Mus musculus: one gene and its partners. The protein of the gene in region 1 purifies or fractionates together with the protein of each later gene. This does not show direct contact. Links are inferred from orthologs where the notes say so. Each region holds a gene or a part of one and is shown in the gene's direction. Other genes may lie near its edges.

Region 1 (7,543 bases):
TATTTTCATACAGAGTTTAACGCAGGCCTCGCAAGACTAGAACTTGCTACGTAGCTGAAAGATCCTGAGAGAGAAGAGTTAAAAATTATGTAAGCCCCTAGACTTGTGTCCAAAATAGACCCCACTAATGGCAGGGAGTAAAAGTTTAACTCGCCCCAATGTTTCAGGATGTACTAACCACAAAGTACAACTTTAACTTGCTCCATTGTTTTAGGAAATGTTCGTACAGAATACTCCAACCGTTCCTTGAACCCGTTATGCTTGCCAAATGCTATATAGCCCATGCCAGATGTTTGCGATTTCTGCCTTTATAAACCCCTTACCCTTGAGCTCAGGGTCAACTCCTCTACCCCTGCATGGGATACGAGTCGTCCCCAGTGCACTGGCCTTTCCTGATTAAACCTCTTGCTGTTTGCATCAAGACCGGTCTCTCCTGAGTTCTTGGGCGTCACGCCATCCCTGGGCTTGAGTGAGGGTCCCTCCCGGTTCGGGGGACTTTCATAGCCAAGGATGACTTTGATCTCCTGATCCTATCTGTACCATCCAAGTGCTGGGATTATACGTTGTACCACTCTCTCTAGTGTCATGTGTTAGGGAACAAATTCAAACCCAAGAATAAACAGCAACAGTAGCAGTAGAGTAATTGCATGTTCCCCCCAGTACCCCCTTTTCCAGAGATCTCATTGAGGTTCATGACAACTTACAAGCCTCATTCAAATCTACCCTCATGGCCTAACTCCAACCCAGAATTTCCACTATTTTTTATAGGAAACTCTCACCTTAAATGGGACAGCTTCTTCCCAACTGGTGCACATACCAAACAGCATCTTGTGTGTGTGTGTGTGTATGCACCCATCTAATTTTGCCATCCAAAGTCAAAGCCTTGGTACCATTTATGCATTTATGAATTCAACAGACATTTAAGATTTAGCACACACAGTATTCGAGGAACAATGGGGACACAGGAAAGATTAATGGGGATCCAAACTTCTGCAGGGGATAGGGAGATCCTGAAGCAGCCTGGAGAAGTTCCCACCAAGTAAGGTGGGTGGAGAGTTGTATTTGGTGGGTGAAAGCAAGCCTTGGGGGGCACAAGAAGGCTGACTGATGAACTGAGTTATTACGGAAATACAGAAGGTTGTGGAGAGGACCAATTTTAGTGATTTCTGATAATTAAGAAATTTGAGCTGGAGATGGCTCAGCAGTTAAGAGCACTAACTGCTCTTCCAGAGGTTCTGAGTTCAATACCCAGCAACCACATGGAGGCTCACAACCATCTGTAAAGAGATCGGATGCCCTTTTCTGGTGTGTCTGAAGACTGCGACAGTGTACTCATATAAAGTATACATACAAAATACATATAAAAATAAATCTTTAAAAAATATTGGACAGAAGAACTGTAATTCTGGGATTTGCTTATGAGTTGAGGGTCTAATTCTATAGCCCAAGTTGTCCTGAAACCTGGGATTTGTGATCTTGCCTCAGCCTCTTAAGTGCTGGAATTACTGGCAATGAGCTATAATGCTGGGCTTAGTTTTTTGTTATTTATTTAAAATTTATGCATGTGTGTTTTGCCTGCATGTATTATGTCTGTGCACCACTTGGACGCCTAGTGCCAGAAGAGGGCGTCTGGTTCCTTGGAACCAGAGTTATAGACAGCCATGTTGGTGCTGGAATTGAACCCCGCTAATGTGGAAGAGCTACCAGTGTTCTTAACCTCTGAGCCAGCTCTCTAGTCCCCAGTTCTTTCCAATGAGTTGATTTTCTTTTACTTTCAGGAAATTACTCCTTTCCGTTATATATAATCCATATAATGAAAAGAACCTGCTGGATTGTCCCTCCAACCCTAACTACCCGTGGCCAGCACCCCAGTCCTTAGTTCATCACGTTCAGATTAAGAGCATTCTAACCAGTTACAGTACCCGCCAGACTCTTCCTCTGGTGTCCAGTGCACACAGAATTAGACTAACAAACGCAAAACAGGCACCACCACAATGACGACCACATTACCCATCTTGATGCTAGGCCATCCATCCATCGCTAGATCTGTTCCTACTTAGAATCGCTCTCCACAAAGAGGCCAGCCAGCTTCCTCAATAAGCCAGCCCAATGTAGTTTACACTTTCCTCAGTCCTCCAGCCTTGTATCCGTATTCCCTTCTCCCGTGGCTAAACGCCACCCTCAGGCACCTTCTCCGAGGGTCTTAAATCTACATTGGCGATAAGCAGCTCGTTCCCGCCTCTTTGCTCTCGCCTCACCCAGCACTGCACCAAACAGTTTCTACCCTGTATTAATTCGAATTTTTCCACAGACCTAGGTCTCCGTTTTCCTTTGTCAGTACAGGCCTCACAGAGCCTGGCCAAAGACCGCGGAAGCGCAGTACAAACGCTAGTCAACTTTAATTGAACCGAATCCGGCGGGGTTTGTCGGAATCTGAGGGCGTGGAGGGAGAGAGGGAGGGACAGGGCTGACAAAACCGCAGAACGCAACTGGAAGCCCCAGGTCCCACACAATAGAGACTTCAGGCAAAAACTGCTGAGACCAGAGCCCCGTGCTAAAGCACGGTCAGCGTGGAGATGGCCGCACATCGCCATGGCTCCCTCCAGCCCCAGCCGTTGGTGGGCGTGGCAACCAGTCTCGCGGGAGCGGCGGTTGGGCGGGCCGTTGTCCCCGAGGGCGGGGCGAGTTGCTAAGGAAATGACCGCCCGCAGCGGCTCACCGCGCCAGTAGGGCGGGGCCTGGAGCAGCGCGGTTTCCGCTTCCGCCCTCTCCCCGCTCCTGTCCCGTTACCGCCTCCTAGCCGGCCTCGCGCCTTTCGCCGGCACCTTGCGTCGACTGCGCAGCCGGGCCCGCTCCTTGCCACGCGCGCCCCCAGGGGCCCCGGCTCCGGCGCCGGCAAGGGTCGCGTCCCGCTTACCTGTTCCTCAGGTAGCCAGCCATCCGCCGCCATGGGTGCCTACCTCTCTCAGCCCAACACGGTGAAGTGCTCCGGGGACGGGGTTGGCGCCCCGCGGCTCCCGCTGCCCTACGGCTTCTCCGCCATGCAAGGCTGGCGCGTCTCCATGGAGGTGAGACAGGGCCCCAGCGGCTGGCCACTGCATGGCAGGAACCTGACAGAGAAAGGGAGCGAGGGGGATGGGGTTCTCCTCAAGCAGGGGTCCCTGACGAGAGCCTGCAGCCACGGTGCGGGAGGCGGCGGCGAGCGCGGGATCCGGGCGGAGAGGGAGCGGCTAGAGCTTGGGGACCGCGGCCTGATGGCTAGTGGCTGCGGGAGCCCTGCCATGTGAGAAGAGGCACCTTCCGCCTACTGGCCGCCGTCTCTCCGTACCTTCGCGCCATCCTCTGGTGCCAGCCCAGCCCTCCAGCTTTTCCAGCGGCATGGGGTTGTCAGAGGGAAGAGGGAAGACTCGTTATTTGTTCGCTTATTGGTCGAATAGATGTGAATGACTGGTTCGTTTTTATTCTTGAAATATGTAATGTGGCAGGCCTCTTGGGGCTACAAACTTGATGGCGAAAAGGAGCCCGGGTAATAATGTGCTTTCCATTCTTAACCCTCAGTTGCTTTTAGCCTTAGACACCTCATGTTAATTTCAGAAGCCCCGCTTGACCTTCGAGAATTGTCACTCGTTCGTATTCTTTTCGAAATCTTTTATGATCTTTAGGAAAGGAATCGTGTCTGTCACTAGGCTTGCTTTTATTTTTTATTTTTTGAAATATGCTTGTAATTTTTTTTCTTACTCGATTTCTTTAAAACTTACTGAGTTGTCATTTTCCTCTGCATATAATTTAGTATACTCGATTTTCAGTCTTGTCATCAATCCTTTTTTGTCACCATCTACGAATAACTTTTAAAAAGAAAAGAAAAGTCCACTTTGGATGAAAGGGAAAGCAATCATTTGGATTGACAGTGTTGAGCAAATGGATGTGAAACTACAATGAACAGGGAATAGGTGTCTTTGAGCAATTTTGTGTGAAGTCTAAGGGACTAGTGAAAAGTTCTAATTATGTCTGGAATCGAGGGTTTATCCAGTTAGTAGGTGGGCTACAGGTAACAGCCAAATAGTTTCCCTTGGTGTTTTTTTTTTTTTTTTTTTTTTTTTTTTCTCTCAAATTCCCTCGCTCCTCCCTGTGGTTAGCTCTGGAATGACAGTGTGAACCTAAATGGTTTGTTCTCAGACTCAAAAGCTATTTTCACCAGCTTTTGATTATGGCTCTAGCATTATCTAGATCCAGCAGAATCTAGATAAATAATTTCAGCAAGGAGAGGGTCCTATTCATTTGGCTCAGTGCCCACATTTAATGGCTTGGAAATTGAGGCCTAGAAAGATTAGGGTACTTGTACCTTGATACAAAGAATTGTATTAAGGTGTTCAAGACAATAGGAGCTGTTCTTATATAGGTGTCAAGATGAAGCACAGCTTTCATATTTCTCAGTGGCATGCTGTAGTAATGACTGGGTAAAGTTAGAGATACCTGGGTATAGTATAGCTTCAGAAGGAAAGCCTTGGGGGTGGCTAAGTGCAACTTGCTGTTCTTACAGGGGACCAGAGTGTGATTCTCAGTGCCCACCCATGTCAAGGAGGTTCCAACAACCTGTGGTTCAAAAAAAAAAAAAAAAAAAAAAAAAGCCGGGCGTGGTGGTGCACACCTTTAATCCCAGCACTTGGGAGGCAGAGGCAGGCGGATTTCTGAGTTCGAGGCCAGCCTGGTCTACAGAGTGAGTTCCAGGACAGCCAAGTTCGAGGCCAGCCTGGTCTACAGAGTGAGTTCCAGGACAGCCAAGGCTACAGAGAAACCCTGTCTCGGAAGAAAAAAAAAAAAAACCCGTGGTTGAATCCGGTGCCCTCTTCTGGCCTCTGCTGATAACTAGTTCTTTCAAGTGCAGTGGGGGTTGGGGAGGGTGGTGGTGGAAGAAAAGCCATAAAGTTAGTCTGGCTGGTGTTTGGGTTAGGCTATGGGGTTCTTTTATTCTCATCTCATAGACTTTTCAAGTTTCTTGTTTTTTAATTTCCGTGGAATGAAATGGTTTTTCCACTTTTGGGGGCACTCTTTCTAGTTTTTTTATGAATTGAGCTGAGTGTTTTTAGATCTAGGAATTCTGTGATTTTACTTCTCTGCTAAGCATTTCCCACTGTGTTTTGGTTCCTCCATTGGAGATTAAAAATCTACTTCATTTTGAGTTTAGGGCTGTTTGGTATGAAGAATTTTGCTCAACTGTTCTTGAGACCATAATCTTCACTCTAAAGGCAATGTTTGAGCATTACAGCTCCTGCTGTGCTATTCCTGGATTTACTTTTGTTTGAGTAAATATGCCTAATCTTGAAGTGCTAGTTAAGATCCCTTTCTGCTGCATAGATACTTTCTTTCTAGGTTTGTGTCCTCCCTCAAAGTATTACATAGTATCTTTGCTATTTTAAGAAAGACACTAAAGTTTTTAGTCTCTTAGAAGAATCTTTCAGAAAATAAGATCTTGATCTAAGAGTGTATATAGTTCAATAGGCCAAAAAGGTGGGGAAAGAGTTATGCTATGTCTTGGTTCCTCTTTTCCTAAGGAATAGACTTAATTCCACCAATTAATGAAGCCCATTCACATTGTTGGCTTGATTCTAAAGACTGGGTTCAGATAAGTTGTATTGGTTTACCTTACAGAAGTTAGTAAAAGTCTGACACAGCTTTAAGCCTGTTTTAGTCTCTCTCTTGAACCAAGGGTGGGTGGTAGTCACCAAAAGCTGGCATTTCATACCTTCTGTCTCAGTCTCTCCAACCCTCTTGCTGTAGAACTAGAATTTGGGGGAGGAAGTGGAGAGGGTGTCAAAATGCTGTAGTGATACACCCCCTTCTTTGTGATTTGGAGGGATTCTCCAGCTTGTTGAGCTATCCTATGGAGTTAAAAGGAGGAGGAGGTGCTGAGAAACAAACAAAAATTGTGAGGTTTTGGTGGCTGGTGAGAAGTCCAGTTTGAACGCAATGTACTGTTGAAAGGAAAAGGATTGTTGAGGCTCCTCTGAAAGAAAACAGTTTTGTGGAGAGTTGGGATGTTACAAAAATTCAATAAATACTCCTCTTTATTTTTTTAACTTTTTAAAGAAATACTATTTATTTAATGTATATGAATACACTGTAGCAGTCTTCAGACACACCAGAAGAGGGCATTAGTCCCATTACAGATGGTTGTGAGCCACCATGTGGTTGCTGGGAATTGAACTCAGGACCTCTGGAAGAGCAGTCATTGCTCTTAACCACTGAGCCATCTCTCTCTCTCTCTCTCTCTCTCTCTTTTTTTGGTTTTTTGAGACAGGGTTTCTCTGTATAGTCCTGGCTGTCCTGGAACTCACTTTGTAGACCAGGCTGGCCTCGAACTCAGAAATCCTCCTGCCTCTGCCTCCCGAGTGCTGGGATTAAAGGTTTGTGGGTTTTTTTGTTTTTTGTTTTTTTTTTGTCTTTTTGTTTTTCGAGACAGGGTTTCTCTGTATAGCCCTGGCTGTCCTGGAACTCACTTTGTAGACCAGGCTGGCCTTGAACTCAGAATTCTACCTGCCTCTGCCTTCTGAGTGCTGGGATTAAAGGCGTGCGCCACCAAGCCCGGCGTTTTTTTGTTTTTTTTTTAATGAGTGCTCTTTCTGCATGTATACCTGGATGCCAGAAGAGGGCATCAGATCCCTTTATAGATGGTTGTGAGCCTCCATGTAGTTGCTGGGATTTGAACTCAGGACCTCTGGAAGAGCAGCCAGTGCTCTTAACTGCTGAGCCGTCTCTCTCCACTACTTTCCTCCTTTTAAAAACTCTCTGTATTTTTTTTTTAAGCATTGTTTGTATGTGGATATGCGTGTGTTATAGCACACATGAGTTCAAAGGACAGCTTGTGGAAATTTCATTTCTGTTCCTACCATGGAGGTCCTAGGATTGAGCGCAGGTCGCCCAGACTTGGTGGCAACTGCCTTTACTTATTCCTGTTATTTCTGCAGCCTTTTTGAGAAGCTGAGGGTAGGAAACAGGAATTTATTATGTAGCCCTGTCTGTTCTGGAACTTGCAGGTATCCTCCTATCTCTGCCTCCTGAGTGTTAGGATTACAGGTTTGGATCACCAGACCCTATTTGGTATTGATATGTTTTGAATCTAACTTTGAGTGGTCATCATGAAAGATTATTGAAGGACTGAATAGATGATGTCTCAGCAGATAAGAGCAACTTGATGCTCTTCCAAAGGACCCCGGTATGGGGGCTAACAACTGCCTTCTGTAAATCCAGTTTCAGGGGATCTTACACCTTCTCCAGGCCTCTTTCAGGCCTGCCTGGATACCAGCTACACATGTGATGCACAGATAATTCAGGCAAAATGCCCATACACATAAAATAAAAACACATCTTAAATTTTTTTACAAGAACATCTTGACTTGAATATCATGTTGAATAGAAAACTCTCAAGATGATTTGTTTTGATTGAAATGGTCTTATATAACCTCAAACTTACTGAAGATGACCTTGAACTCCTCATAGGACTGTCTGATGCCTATAGAAGCCAGAAGAGTGTTGGATCCTCTGG
Region 2 (6,473 bases), on another chromosome or scaffold:
TTTTTCTTTACCACCTTGGGACTGCTTTACCACAACTGGTATGTAGGCCTATGGATGAGAGAGGAAATGATTGATGTATGTGGCAGAGATGGGCTTGACATAACCCAGCTTCTAATGAAGAGACTAAAATTGCTCATACTTTTGTTGGATATTCTCTGGCTCTGCCATTGGTAGTAGTTTGCCACTCTTGTGTGAGCACAAGCACTCGTCTGGTGTGTGTGTGTGTTTGTGTTTATGAACAGGGTATTAAATCTGAGGTCTTAATGCTAAGCAAGCACTTTAGATTTTAGCTGTATCCCCAGACTTTTTTTTTTTTTTTTTTTTGAGAATAGGGTTTTAGTAAGTTGCCCAGGCTGGCCTTGAACTTACGGTGTTGTCAGGCTGGCCTAGAAATACAGGCATGTGCTATTAGATCCCACCCTTCACCCCACCATCTGCACACCCTCGTGCTGGGGATCAAATCCATGACCTTGTACTCGCTAGGTGACTGCTTGCCCGGTGAGCTACAGAGCAGCCTGGTGCTGGTGTGGAATCCCTGCCTATCCTGCAGGAGTTGGGAACAAATGCTGTGTAGCCCCTAGGAGTAGATGAGTTGGGGGCCGTGGGGCCTATAGAGTTTCTGGAACAGCCTTTCTTTTAGAACTCAGGGTCAAGGCTGGCCTGTTACTCAGAGCGAGTGACTGAAAGAAAGAGTCAGTAACAACTCTTGCCATTGGCTGAAATCCTCTCTCCCACACAGGTACCCGTCCCGCGTGTTTGTGGGAGACACCTTCTGTTACTTTGCGGGCATGACTTTTGCCGTGGTGGGGATCTTGGGACACTTCAGCAAGACCATGCTGCTCTTCTTTATGCCACAAGTATTCAATTTCCTCTACTCACTGCCTCAGCTCTTCCATATCATCCCCTGCCCTCGACACCGGATGCCCAGGTAACCACTCTGGGGCTTTCAAGGGTCATAATAGTTTCTGACTTGGGATAGCTAAAGCCAACTTGCATTTCCTATGTAAAAAAAACATGAGGGGAAAGATGAGCCGACTGTATGTGGGTAGCCCATTGTAATTTACGAAGCTCGTTTACTTACATAGTATGTAATGCTTACAACAGCCCTGATCACGGAGCCAGAAACCAACTCCAGTACATAAGTACTCAGTACTCTTTTTTTTTTTTTTTTTTTTTTTTTTTTGGTTTTTCAAGACAGGGTTTCTCCTTATAGCCCTGGCTGTCCTGGAACTCACTTTGTAGACCAGGCTGGCCTTGAACTCAGAAATCCGCCTGCCTCTGCCTCCTGAGTGCTGGGATCAAAGGTGTGCGCCATCACGCCCGGCCTCAGTACTCTTCTTAGTAACCAGGGTGCAGAGGTCTCTGATTCAGTCAAATGAAATTATCTTCCCATTGCAGACTCAACGCAAAGACAGGCAAACTGGAAATGAGCTATTCCAAGTTCAAGACCAAGAACCTCTCTTTCCTGGGCACCTTTATTTTAAAGGTAACAAGGTAACAGGAGGTAAGGCCCGAGGCCGCCATCCTTAACTTGGGAAAAGAGAAACCTAGGCCTTTTCAGGCCCAAGGGGAGTTTGGGAACATCAAGAAGATCCCTATTCGTGAAGTAGATCTGCATAACTGAAGTCATCTTCACCTCTGGTCCCTGCAGGTAGCAGAGAACCTCCGGTTAGTGACAGTTCACCAAGGTGAGAGTGAGGACGGTGCCTTCACTGAGTGTAACAACATGACCCTCATCAACTTGCTACTTAAAGTCTTTGGGCCTATACATGAGAGAAACCTCACCCTGCTCCTGCTGCTCCTGCAGGTACAGCTCAGGGTGGGGCTTAGTAATGCCATGGCGTTTACATCTCTGGTTGGCCTTGCTTCTAATTCCAGTCCACTTCTCCCAGGTCCTAAGCAGCGCCGCCACCTTCTCCATTCGTTACCAACTCGTCCGACTCTTCTATGATGTCTGAGCTCCCTGACAGCTGCCCTTTACCTCACAGTCTCCATTGGACCTCAGCCAGGACCAGCCTCTGTCTGGTCCGAGATGACCCTCTGGTCCAGGCCTCGCTGACACTTTTGTTCTCAGCTTCTGCCATCTGTGACTACTGATATCCTGGATGGACACCTTGCTGGACTTGAAGTCCGCTAGTTGGACTTTGCCTAGGGCTTTCATCTTGCCTTGCCCTCCCTTTCTGTCCCATCTGCAGCCTCACCAGGTGGGCTTGTAGCCTCTATTATGCAAATATTCGTAGCTCAGCTTTCAGAGCGCTAACTCTAAAGGAATTCACCTGAGCCTTGAGAGAGAACCTGGGCTAGGGCTAGAGTTAGGGCTACATACTCCAAGGTGACCTCACATTTGACTATCAAATGAAGTGTTGTGATTGGGAAGCGTAGAGGCAGGGCCATGTGCTCAGAACGGTGACAATAAAGGACTGCCTTTTACTTGTTCCTCTAGTGTAGCATCCCCTCCCTCTGTCCTTTTTAACCTTCGTGGTGCTTCAGGAGTGAACACCGGGGCTTCCTTATACTTAACTGCTCTACCACTGAACTATATGCCAAGTCTGGTATATTTATTTTTTATATAGGCATTTTAGGATAGATTGGAAGGGTTAGACCGGGTACCTTTCCCAATAGGATACCGATCTCTGTTCCATCAGACCCTTTCTTGCAAAAAAGGCCTGTCACAAACTAAGACCAGACAGAACATGTTGAATAAATATCGCAGCACAAACTTGTGATAGCATAAAAGATCACAGTGCTCCATTTTCTGGCATAGGATTAAACTCCTAGGAGGTTTCATTTCGTTTCTTTTAAACCCTCCCTCCCTTTAATCTGCACTAGGGAGGCAGAGGCAGGCTGATCTCTGAGTTCCAGGACAGGCAGGGCTACTCAGAGAAACCCTGTCTCAAACAAACAAAAGCCAGATGGTGGTGGCGCACGCCTTTAATCCTCAGGCTTGGGAGGCAGAGGCAGGCGGATCTCTGAATTCAAGGCCAGCCTGGTCTACAGAGTGAGTTCCAGGACAGCCAGGGCTACACAGAGAAACCCTGTCTCGAAAAACAAACAAACAAACCTAAAAATAATAATGAACAAATAAACCCTCCGTCTACCAGATTAGAGGAGGGAGTGGGAAGTGCTCTAACCTGGAAGGAGAACGCTGCTTATAGTGTAGACCCTTTTCCTTTAAGACCAAAGACCGACTCAAATTTCCCAGAAACTGTAGAGGTAGCTCCAAGCTCCACCCTTCTAGTCTTCAGGTTTTGTTGTCGCGCCGTAGCGTTTAAATTTCGCGCGCTCTACACGGATTGGCCATTTCCAGGGGTGAGCAGCCTCCGGCTTGCGGCCACTCCGCCTTGTCTTCTTCCCCGGGTAAAAGGTTTTCAAATTGGACCAATCACTGGGCGCGTTCTCTCAGCTAAGGCGCGTCACCGAAGGGTTAATTGCAACCAACCAGAGGTGGGTATTAAAAAAGGAACCAATCAGGAGGAAGCGGGGGCGTGTCCAGGGAGTTTATAAGGCCGGGCTTGGCCGGCCAGGCGACCGTTGACTGCGGCGGTTGGTAGTTCGTGGTCTCTCAGCGTTGTTCGCAGCTCTTCTACCTCGTACACTATGTCCGGACGCGGCAAGACCGGCGGCAAGGCCCGCGCCAAGGCCAAGTCGCGCTCTTCACGCGCCGGCCTTCAGTTCCCTGTAGGCCGCGTACACCGGCTGCTGCGGAAAGGCCACTACGCCGAGCGCGTGGGCGCAGGCGCGCCGGTGTACCTGGCAGCGGTGCTCGAGTACCTCACTGCCGAGATCCTGGAGCTGGCGGGCAACGCGGCCCGCGACAACAAGAAGACGCGCATCATCCCGCGCCACCTGCAGCTGGCCATCCGCAACGACGAGGAGCTCAACAAGCTGCTGGGCGGCGTGACCATCGCGCAGGGCGGCGTCCTGCCCAACATCCAGGCCGTGCTGCTGCCCAAGAAGAGCAGCGCCACCGTGGGGCCCAAGGCGCCGGCGGTCGGCAAGAAGGCCTCGCAGGCCTCTCAGGAGTACTGAGGGGGCCCGCGCCGAGGCCGCCCAGCCCTCCCCACACCTCCACAAAGGCCCTTTTAAGGGCCACCACCTCCCTCACAGAAAGAGCTGAGCCACTTCGGGCTGCGGCGGCTTGCCGCGTCCCCATCCTTTCTCTTTCCCTCCTCTCCCCTCCCCGCCCTCGCGCCACTCTTCCCCTTACCCCGCACGGCCTCCGGTTCTGCCACGGAGGACGCGGGCGCCGCGGCACCTGCCCATCCCGGAGCTCGTGACATCGCTTCGCCGTTCTCGGTTGTGGACGACGGCTCCGTGCGGAGAGGCTGCGGCGCCTTCCCGGAGTCTCGGCCCCTCGCTCAGACGTCCGGCCGCGGTGGGCTTGAAGGTTAGTCCCTCCGCAGCTACAGCCCCGGCGTCTTTGCTTCAGCTTGGTGCTTAGCCCTCGCCTGGACCTTTGAAAAGTGACTTGATTGCCGGGCTTAGAGGAGGAGAAATGGATCACATTGTTTCCTTCGGTGTCACCGTTGCTGGCCTCATACCAGTTGACCCTGTCGCCATTCGTAGGCCAGTGTGGTGTGGCGGGGCCAAAAATGGTTGTAATGTGAACCCAGTTTCTCTAGGAATACCTCCCGGCAAGGGTCAGAGAGACGCTTACCGGCCTGTGGACAAGAGTTCTATACCTGCCGCAGGCGACTGGCAGCCGGGCCTAGCCATCCATCCCCTCTTCCCCAGCGACTCAACTACAACCCAAACACCTAGATACCAGCACAAGCCGGTGAATCCCTGTCTGGACTGAGCCTCTGGCTTCTGAACTGGAACTTTTGCAGCTATTACAAGTTTAGAACCTTAAGTGGGGAGATTTAATGGGCTAATTTTATTAAAGGATCGTTTGGTTTTGTTTTTTTAAAAAAGTGGTTTAATGTTGAATGCTGTAGTCCCAGGGCTGGACATATAGCTCCGTGGTAGAGCCATGTGCCTGGCACATCTTGGGAGAGAATGGGACTTCCCTTTCTGCAGGCCGTGGGAGTGGGAAAGGCTATGTAATCCACGAAGATCCCGTTGACTGAAGACAGGCTGTAGGAATTGAAGGCTGATTTTTTTTTTTTTTTTTTTTTTTTTTTTTTTTTGAGAACATGAGGCAAATCACAGCGTGTTTTACAACAGAAAGGTCTCAGACTCAATTCAAGTTTAAAAGGGCTTTGGGTTTATTCATATCTTCCCCAACTCTATCAGAAGAACCACATTCTAAACTGGTTTATTAGTGGTATTGGTTACATTCAAAGATTGGCATGGACTTTCTCTAAAGAGATGAAGCCCCCAACTACTGAGGGAAAGGCAGATATGGAGGCCCCAAGGTGAGGCATATCTTCCAAAGTGGAAGTCTCAACAACCCCGTGGTTCAATTTCCTGGGATAATCACATCCCTAGGGATGGAGCACAGGGCACTTGGAAGCCAGAAGTAGGCAGTGGAGTGGCAGCCAGGGTTCCTGTGCCCTACAGACCAGTTAGCGCACATCATTAAGCTGCCGTGCAACATCCAGGATGTTCTTGGCTCCTTTGTTGAGCAGCAAGCTGGCCAGGCTGATGCCCAGGTTCTCAGCAGCTAGCTGGGCTCCTCTTGGAATGTTACGGGCAGTGATTCCAACCAGTTGTGGGTCATCTTCTGGACCATCTTCTTGCTGGATGACAGGTTACAATTTTGGTAAGAGGAAGATTACAAGCAGTTCTATTTATTCCTTCCTCATCTCCCAGTCAATACCTGAACAGGGACCTGGATGGTGGCCTGCATAGTCTCTTGCATGCTATCTGAGCCATCTAGACTCCAGACTCCACCAGTCAGGTACAGCTAGGAAATAAAATGTTTGTACCAGGATATTTAAAGAAAGTTACTTAGATGTTTCGGTGCACATGGAAATGACAGTCCCTCCCCTCATCCATTTCCCTGGCTTACTTGCCCATCTTTCATCACTGTATGCACTGCTACGGGCACGCTGCAGCCTCCTTCCTGCAATGATATGTTCCTTTGAGCTCTAAGGGCCTTTAACACCACTTTTGACCACAGACCTCAAGGGGCCAGATCAAGGTCCTCTCCATACATACAAAACATTACATACTGAGTACTTGACAAATCTCTCTCCCTACTGCCCTTCCTGGTTTCCCCACAACACCATGGGAGGAGCCCATCTTACCAGGTGCCTCAGAAAAGCCCTTTCAGCAATGCAGCGAAGCAGAGTTTCAGGATCGTGCAACACACTCACTAGGTCCAAGATATCCTGGTCCTTGGCTCGGACTTCCACGGCTAGGGCTCCCTAAAGAACAACAGGCCTGATCTTCTCTAGTAATAGAGCTAAGCATGAGAAACACACCTCTACCTGCTTCCCTGGGTCTTATGCATAACAACCAAACCTGTCCCTCTCTAAACATCTTATTTGATGGATAGCAGGTGCCAAAGGTTATGAACCAGGTTCTCT
Region 3 (7,431 bases), on another chromosome or scaffold:
AACTAAGAATCACGGGCTGAAGAGATGGCTTAGTAGTTAAGTTCACCTGCTGCTCTTTTTAGAGGACAGAGGGTCGATCTCCAGAACACACATGGTGGCTCACAACCATTTCTAACTCCAGTTCCAAGGCATCTAAAACTCTCCACGATGGGACAGTTGTGTTATGTATGCTCAACCAGTGCTGTGTGCTAAGGTACATCCCCGGCCCTGTTAGCCCCATTTGACTGAAGTACATCTCACAGGCTATGGAGAGATGGGAACACAAACTCAAGCAGGTGTTTCCGCTATCTGTGCTCAGCACTTAATGCTGTGGTCAATGTGGTGTTGTGGGTATGCCTTTAATAGGAACTAGACAGCACCATCTATAACTTTAGCTGAACAGCAAAAATACAATCCAATTTGGTTTCACTAAGGATCTGACGCTTGAGAGTAATTTTATTGCCACCCTGGTATCCTTTCGCCATCTCATGCCCTCTGACTGGTCCTATACAGACTGGTGCTGCGGCAGGGGTGTGCTCAGCAAATTGCAGGACATCAGTTTGTTTCCTGGAACCAAATTATGGGTCATCCTGCCTGGGCAATCTGTAAGAAAATGACAGGATTCTCAGGGATGTCATGTCACTGAGTCTCATTTCTTTTTTTCTTTTCTTTTTTTTTTTTTTAAAGATTTATTTTATTATTATATGTAACTACACTGTAGCTGTCTTCAGACACACCAGAAGAGGGAGTCAGATCTTGTTACGGATGGTTGTGTGAGCCACCATGTGGTTGCTGGGATTTGAACTCTGGACCTTCGGAAGAACAGTCGGGTGCTCTTACCCACTGAGCCATCTCACCAGCCCCGAGTCTCATTTCTAAACGTCTAGAAGAGGGCGCTGGATCCCCTGGAACTGGAGTTAGGAGGCTGTAAACTGTCATGTGTGTGCTGGCAACTGAACCCAGATCCTCTGGAAAAGCAATTCGTGCTTTTAACCACAGAGACATCTCTCCAGTCCCTACTATTTGAGAGAGGGTTTCATGTAGCTCAGATCAGCCAAACATGACCTTGAACTTTCCTCCTGATCCTATATCTACTTCTCCAAGGCACCCATTCCTGTGGACTGATAAAACTACGGAGGACTGCTAGTTAATGCACTAAGCAACCCCTCTGATATACATTCCCAGCTTCCCCATCATTGACTTAAAGCCACACATACAGAGCAGTCCTCCTAGTTGAGAGCAAAAGGTTGGGGTTAGGGAGCTGATAAGCTAGAGGAAATCACTAGGTAAATTATTGAAATACTGTATGAGGAATGATGGGCCTACATTTCTTTCTTTCTTACCAGGCTGGCCTCAAACTCAAGAAATCTGCCTGCCTCTGCCTCCCAAGTGCTGGGATTAAAGGCGTCCACTACCAAGCCCAGCTCTTTTTTATTTTTTTAAGATTTAATTATTATATGTGAGTACACTGTAGCTGTCTTCAGACACTCCAGAAGAGGGCGTCAGATCTCTTTACGGATGGTTGTGAGCCACCATGTGGTTGCTGATATTTGAACTCAGGACCTTCGGAAAAGCAGTCAGTGCTCTTATCCGCTGAGCCATCTCTCCAGCCGGGCCTACATTCCTTGTTGCAAAACTTCAAGTTTCTATAGCATTAAGTCTGCCTTTTGTCTTGAGAATCAGAGTTACGGAGGCACAGGACCAGCATGCTTCTGCATGTAGGTGTGTGCACATGCTTACAGTGGAGAGAGAGCACCATGGGTAATTCCAGCACTCAGGACTCCAAGGAAGGGAGGCTACAGAAATATTGAAGCCAGTCTGAGATACATATTGAGTTCTAGGCTAGAGATCCTGTCTGAAAGAGGCAGAACAGAATAAACTCACAAAAAAGAAAAATCGAATTACATTCTAATGAATACATTACAATAGAACTCATTTCCTGGGCAATCTTGGTGGCCCATGCCTTTAATCCCAGCACTCTGAAGGCAGAAGCAGGTGGGTCTCTGAGTTCAAGGCCAGCCTAATCTACAGAATGAGTTCCAGGACAGCCAGGGCTATACAGAGAAACCACCTGGCTCCGCCCCCCCCCACCGTGGGGGGAGGGGGGCAACCCAACCCAACCAACAAATCACAGCCAAACAAAAATTATGCTTGCATAGTAAACAAAAAAATCTTTCTTAAAATCAGGATAAGATGTGGAAGTATTCAGAACATATCTATACATGAAGCCATTGGAAACATACATTACAGGCAGAAAATACACACAATTAAAAAACCCCACGAGGCTATGACTTTAAGTGTTTCAGAGAACACTAAATCCCAAGTTTCCAAAGTGTGGCTAGTGTAGGGCAATTTCTTTACACCTTAAAAACAATACAATTTACATGCTATTTTGACCCATATGCTCCTAATCCCCCCATGACTTGCAGCTGGGTATCCAAATGAGGGGAGGGGAATGTTAAGCAACTATATGCAACGTATTTTTATCTTGTTTGTTGTATTTGTTTTTTGTTTTTGAAACAAGATCTCAGACTGTAGTTCAGGCTTCGGGATACTGAGATGGCAGGTGTGTCGCTACAGCTCGTCAATGCACACGTTCTTTATATAATACTACACAGATCTTGTAAACGAAGTCTGGACATCAAAGCTTTATGGGAACTGCTAAGTGGTCTAAGGACGCGCCTCCGCGAAACTTTGTTAACAGTCCAGGGCCCCGACGGGGTCTCCAAGGGCAATTAGGGGCGCCTGAAGCCAGCTCTGCTCGAGTCTGGAATGGGCTGTGTGACCTTGGACAGGCTCCACTCTCTCTCTGGGCTTCAGTTTGCAAATCCGCACGTTGGAAGGTGAACCACGTGGTTCTCATGGTCCGGTTCCGCACAGAGCGCGGCAGCAAGCCGACCTCACCATGAAGGCAGCTTCCTGTGGGCGCGGCGCAGGACTTTAACGGTTCCCGTCCCCGCCCCCTCCGAGGCCCGCGAAAGGCTCGCTTTCCGTACACCGCGGCGAGTGACGGCTCTCCGTAGCGCGCAGTCCGAGCCACTCGCGCGCAGCTCCGCCCCACCCCGGAGGCGTCCCGTCGTGCTCCGCGCCAGACTCCTAAGAGCCTGGGCGCCTCCCGCCTTTCCGCGCGGCGGCGACCCCGAACTCCTCGCTTCAGTTCTCCCGGCGCCCCGTCCTATCAACGTCCAGGATCCCAGCCAATCCGACGCGCCTGGAGCCTTTACCTTCCGCCCACCCTTCTCCCCGCGCACAGCCGGGCTGAGCCCGAAGGCCTTTACCGGGCCAGCCCAATCAGCGGCGCGCTCTTACCTGCCCCACCCCAGAGCCCCTCCCCTCGACCAATAAGCACGCCCCATCCCGCTGCCCGCCCAGCCAACCGGACCTTGAAGCCCGCAGGCCAATGGGCGCGTGGCGGCCCTTCAACGCTAGCCGTCCGGCCAATCGGGGGTTCCGCGTGGCCCCGGCCGTAGCCAATCGCTGGGCAGCGCGGTGCCGCCGCGGAGAGGTCCGGCAAGGATATCCCTCCGCCTCCCTCCCTCGATCTCTCTCCCTCCCTGCGATCCGCCTCTCACTCACTCACTGCCGCCCTTCCTTTCTCCCTCCGCCGCCCGAGCAGCAGCCGCGCTCCGAGCTGCCCCCGGGGTCCCTCCCCCGCCGCCAGAGGAGCAGCTGCTGCCGCCTAGCACATTAGGAGGGCGGAAGGAAGGAAGGAGAGCGGGGAGGAAGGGGAGCCGGAGCGCCTGGCCAGAGGCAGCCGGTGAATGGGCTTGTGGTGACCCCCACCCCCCACCCCACCCTCCCTTCCCACCCGACCCCCAACCCCCATCCCCAGTCGGAGCCGCCGCCCGACAGGCCGGGCCGCCGTCTTGCGAGGAGTCCCCGCCGCCGTCACCTCCGCCATGGAGCTCATAACCATCCTCGAGAAGACCGTGTCTCCGGGTAGGACTCGGGGCCGGGGGGTCGGGCCGAGGTGACCGGGGTGGGGGAGGGGGTGGCCCCTCTGACCCCGCTGCCTCTCCCCCCATCTCTCCCGGCAGATCGGCTGGAGCTGGAAGCGGCGCAGAAGTTCCTCGAGCGTGCGGCCGTGGAGAATCTGGTGCGTGCCGCCCCGCCGCGCCCCATCCCGCCGCGTCCCCATCCCTGCGTGCGGCCCTTCCCGCCCTCCTGGAGGCCCAGGCCTCAGGAACCCACCCCGCCCCAGCTCGTCCCCCTACCCCCCCGCCCGGCCCAACCTAACCCCGCCATCGGGAAGCCGGTGGGTGTGTCCCGCCCCGAGCCCCGCGTCTGGCCAATAGCGAGGCGCGCCGGGGTGATCGCCGTCCAATCGCCACGCGGCCTGAGGGCGGCGGTGCTGCGGGAGGGAGAAAGAGGGAGGGAAGGGAAGTTAGGTTGCATGGCGCTGCGTGTTCAGCAAGGGTGGGGGTTGGGGAGCCGGGCCTAGGGGCCATGTGGAAGCTCTGCGCCCTGCCGCCTGCCTTGTACTGGCTGCGGCCGGCCTCTCCTTCCTGTCCCCTGGTTTTGAGGCAGTATGCAACTACTTCCCAGAGCCCTACCCTTCCCCAGCTCCCTTGGTCTGTGCTCATGGCCACGCCTGGCACCCGACCACCTCTGGACCCATTGCCACAATTTTTTTCTTTTTCTTGCCCATTATTATCCCATTCCTGGTCTAAGTGCACGAATGTTCTGTTTGGACTTAGGTTTTCAGAGAACTCATCTTTAAGGATCTCAGGCTGAGGCTCATTTCTGAGATTGAGCCTATTCTCTGATAAATCACAAATGTAACCCCGTTTTTCATACTTTCGGATTTAAGAAGTACATTTGAGAAAAGAAAAAGTGACTGACTTTTGTATAGGAAAATGTGGGATTATTGAAGCAGCCTATTGCCAGAATGTTTCTCCTCTCCTTTTTGGGGGAAGGGGAGGGAAGCGTGGATGATATGGAAAGTCTCTTTAAAGGTAGGAAGTTTTAAAAAGTGAAAAAAAACATTGTAACCCAATGTCCTTTGTGAGAGCTTTGCAAAATAGTAACATCCATACAGCGACATATCTGATTTGTACTGACCACTTTTGGTGGAGAGGTAAGCGACTTGTGTTAAGGTTTTTTTATCTCACACCTTTCCAAGCATTTCCTTTTTAGTGTAGACTGAGAATTCTGCTCATAGTATATTCTTGGTTTTGCTTTTGCTACTTTGCAAGAAGCCCTTTTTCCTGCTCCTAACTCTTCAGTGGCACAGAATAGAAATTGGAGAATTGTGTTCTGAGCCTACTGTAGAGTTTGCTTACATTGAGAATTATCTCCTGTGTTTGAAGAGTTTGCTAACACTAAAAAAAGTGTCTACTTTGGCCTTCTATAACATTCCTGATTGGACAGATTACGTACAGGCCCACCCCCCTGTGTGTGCCTCTGTATGCTCAGAAAGAGGAAGGGGGGTGTTATAGATGATTATCTTTTGGACCTGTATTTCAAAACATAGATTTTTGGATGATTCATTGTTAGTTCACATTAGGTCCAAAACACCATAGGCTCCCTGGTATGTTCTGCTTCTAAATGAAGCCAGTTTTTTTTTTTTTTTCCCCTCTCTCTTTTTTTTTTTTTTTTTTTTGGGCGGGGGGGAGTCAAGACAGGATTTCTCTATATAGCCCTGACTATCCTGGAACTCACTTTCTGTAGACCAGACTGGTCTCCCAACTCTGAAATCCACCTGCCTCTGCCTCCTAAGTGCTGGGATGAAACCAATTTCTCTTGACAATTCATCATTCACATTGTCATATTCTTTCAATTTCTGAAAACTAGTTAACACTTTGGCTTACAGATCCCTTTTGTTGAACATGCAGAACTAAAACACGGAGGACTCGGTCTTACATGTATGTTAGACTGGCACACATATGTTAGAAAGGATGCCTTACATGAGATCACAGGGCTGTCCTGATGTTTTTGAACAAGATTTTTTTTTTTTTAATATACTTTTCAAGAATTCTTTTCGTTGAGCTGATTTGCAGTACTGGACATTGTTGTACATGCTTGGAGAAAGTTGTCACTAGGATTGCCGTGTCACCAGGCATCGACTTGCCTTTAATTCTGGGGAGATATTTATTAGACTTGGGCTCAAAACATGTTCTTGATAGGAGGAATCTGTTTCTTCATATAGCAGGTGACTTGTCCTTGAAGTGGCTTTTGTTGCTTAGTCAGGCCTTAACTTTTTGAACCCAAGGAAACCTCTTCAATGTTGAGTCTAGGCAGGTACTATTTCAAAGAGAGATTTCCCAGTTTCCTGAGATACCTTGATTTGATCTAAATTTTGTGTGCTTCTCTAGTTTAGTACTTTATAAGCAAGGGGAAATTGCTAATATGCTTGCAAATGCACCTTCTCCACAGCCCACGTTCCTTGTGGAACTGTCCAGAGTGCTGGCAAACCCAGGAAACAGTCAGGTTGCCAGAGTTGCAGCTGGTCTACAAATTAAGAACTCTTTGACATCGAAAGATCCAGATATCAAGGCACAATACCAGCAGAGGTGGCTCGCTATTGATGCTAATGCTCGACGGGAAGTCAAGAACTATGTAAGTGACTGTCCAATCCTTGATGTCACATGGTCTAAGGAACAGCATTGTAAGGGAGTGTTCATTTACCTGGCATAGAGCATGACAGATTTCTGAGACCTCAACTTTAACTGAATGTAAAAATTTATTCTGATTAGTCTCTTGGTGTGGAAATGGGTGTTTGGTGTGTTGTTGGGTTCAGCTTGCTAAGGTGACCTGCAGCAGCTTGGGAAACTTTAGTTGGGTCTCTTAAAAGATTTCACTCCTGAAGTACTGGGAGTGCCACACTGCACTCCGGGGTATCTTTGAGTGTGTAACAAGGTGTTAAGTAGCCCAGTCCATCCTCGGTTTTATTAAAGGGTGGCTATGAACTCCTAACATTTCTGCACTTACTCTAAAAGGGGTCAGGTGTTTGCCACCATGCCTGGATTTTCATAGATATCTTAAACATATTTTCTACTTTAAAAATGTGTGTTTATGTATGTTTTAGCAACTTTGGAAGCCAGAAGAGAGTGTTGATTCCCCTGGATCTGGAGTTACACGCCATCGTGAGGATCAGACAAGGGTGCTGGGAACTGAACTCTTTGGAGAGCAGGGAGGGTTATGCTGTTTTGCTCTCCCCAACACAGTCCCACAGCTCCCCTTTGTTTTAGGGATGGCAGGTCCTGTTGTTTGCTGGTTTTTACAGGATAATGTGTAAAGTCAGGGAGATAAATAAGTAATTTTGAGTCAAACAAAGAGCTTGAAGATTTGTCTATCTATTTATGTTTCACTATGTAGTCTAGGCTGGCCATAAACTCACAATCTAACTGCCTTTGCCTCTGAGTCCTGGGTGTGTAGCTTGTCTTTTTATGTACTTAAAACCAGTTATGGAAAACTTTCTTGAGATCTCAGCATTGTGAGTGAGTTCTTTGC

Evidence for each region. Proteins that work in one complex are often made in the same cells at the same time.
Region 2: the proteins of Ppm1g (region 1) and H2ax purify together in Homo sapiens (affinity purification with mass spectrometry; 4 studies listed by BioGRID and IntAct, counting the BioPlex papers as one, with this or other methods). This does not show direct contact. The link is inferred for Mus musculus from reciprocal best matches to the Homo sapiens genes PPM1G and H2AX.
Region 3: the proteins of Ppm1g (region 1) and Kpnb1 purify together in Homo sapiens (affinity purification with mass spectrometry; 3 studies listed by BioGRID and IntAct, with this or other methods). This does not show direct contact. The link is inferred for Mus musculus from reciprocal best matches to the Homo sapiens genes PPM1G and KPNB1.

The regions. Positions count from the first base shown.
Region 1 is NC_000071.6:31,215,828-31,223,370, reverse strand, and holds the start of Ppm1g (protein phosphatase 1G), read left to right. Parts: upstream 1-2,825; 5' UTR 2,826-2,948; coding exon 2,949-3,068; intron 3,069-7,543.
Region 2 is NC_000075.6:44,331,165-44,337,637, forward strand, and holds H2ax (histone H2AX), read left to right. Parts: upstream 1-3,550; 5' UTR 3,551-3,597; coding exon 3,598-4,029; 3' UTR 4,030-4,913; downstream 4,914-6,473. Other genes in the region: Dpagt1 (UDP-N-acetylglucosamine--dolichyl-phosphate N-acetylglucosaminephosphotransferase), read left to right, coding at 1-38, 740-928, 1,399-1,486, 1,652-1,807, 1,893-1,958; Hmbs (porphobilinogen deaminase), read right to left, coding at 5,508-5,681, 5,762-5,848, 5,954-6,007, 6,192-6,311. UniProt on the Homo sapiens protein: Variant histone H2A which replaces conventional H2A in a subset of nucleosomes. Nucleosomes wrap and compact DNA into chromatin, limiting DNA accessibility to the cellular machineries which require DNA as a template.
Region 3 is NC_000077.6:97,184,033-97,191,463, reverse strand, and holds the start of Kpnb1 (importin subunit beta-1), read left to right. Parts: upstream 1-3,571; 5' UTR 3,572-3,878; coding exon 3,879-3,918; intron 3,919-4,016; coding exon 4,017-4,075; intron 4,076-6,354; coding exon 6,355-6,537; intron 6,538-7,431.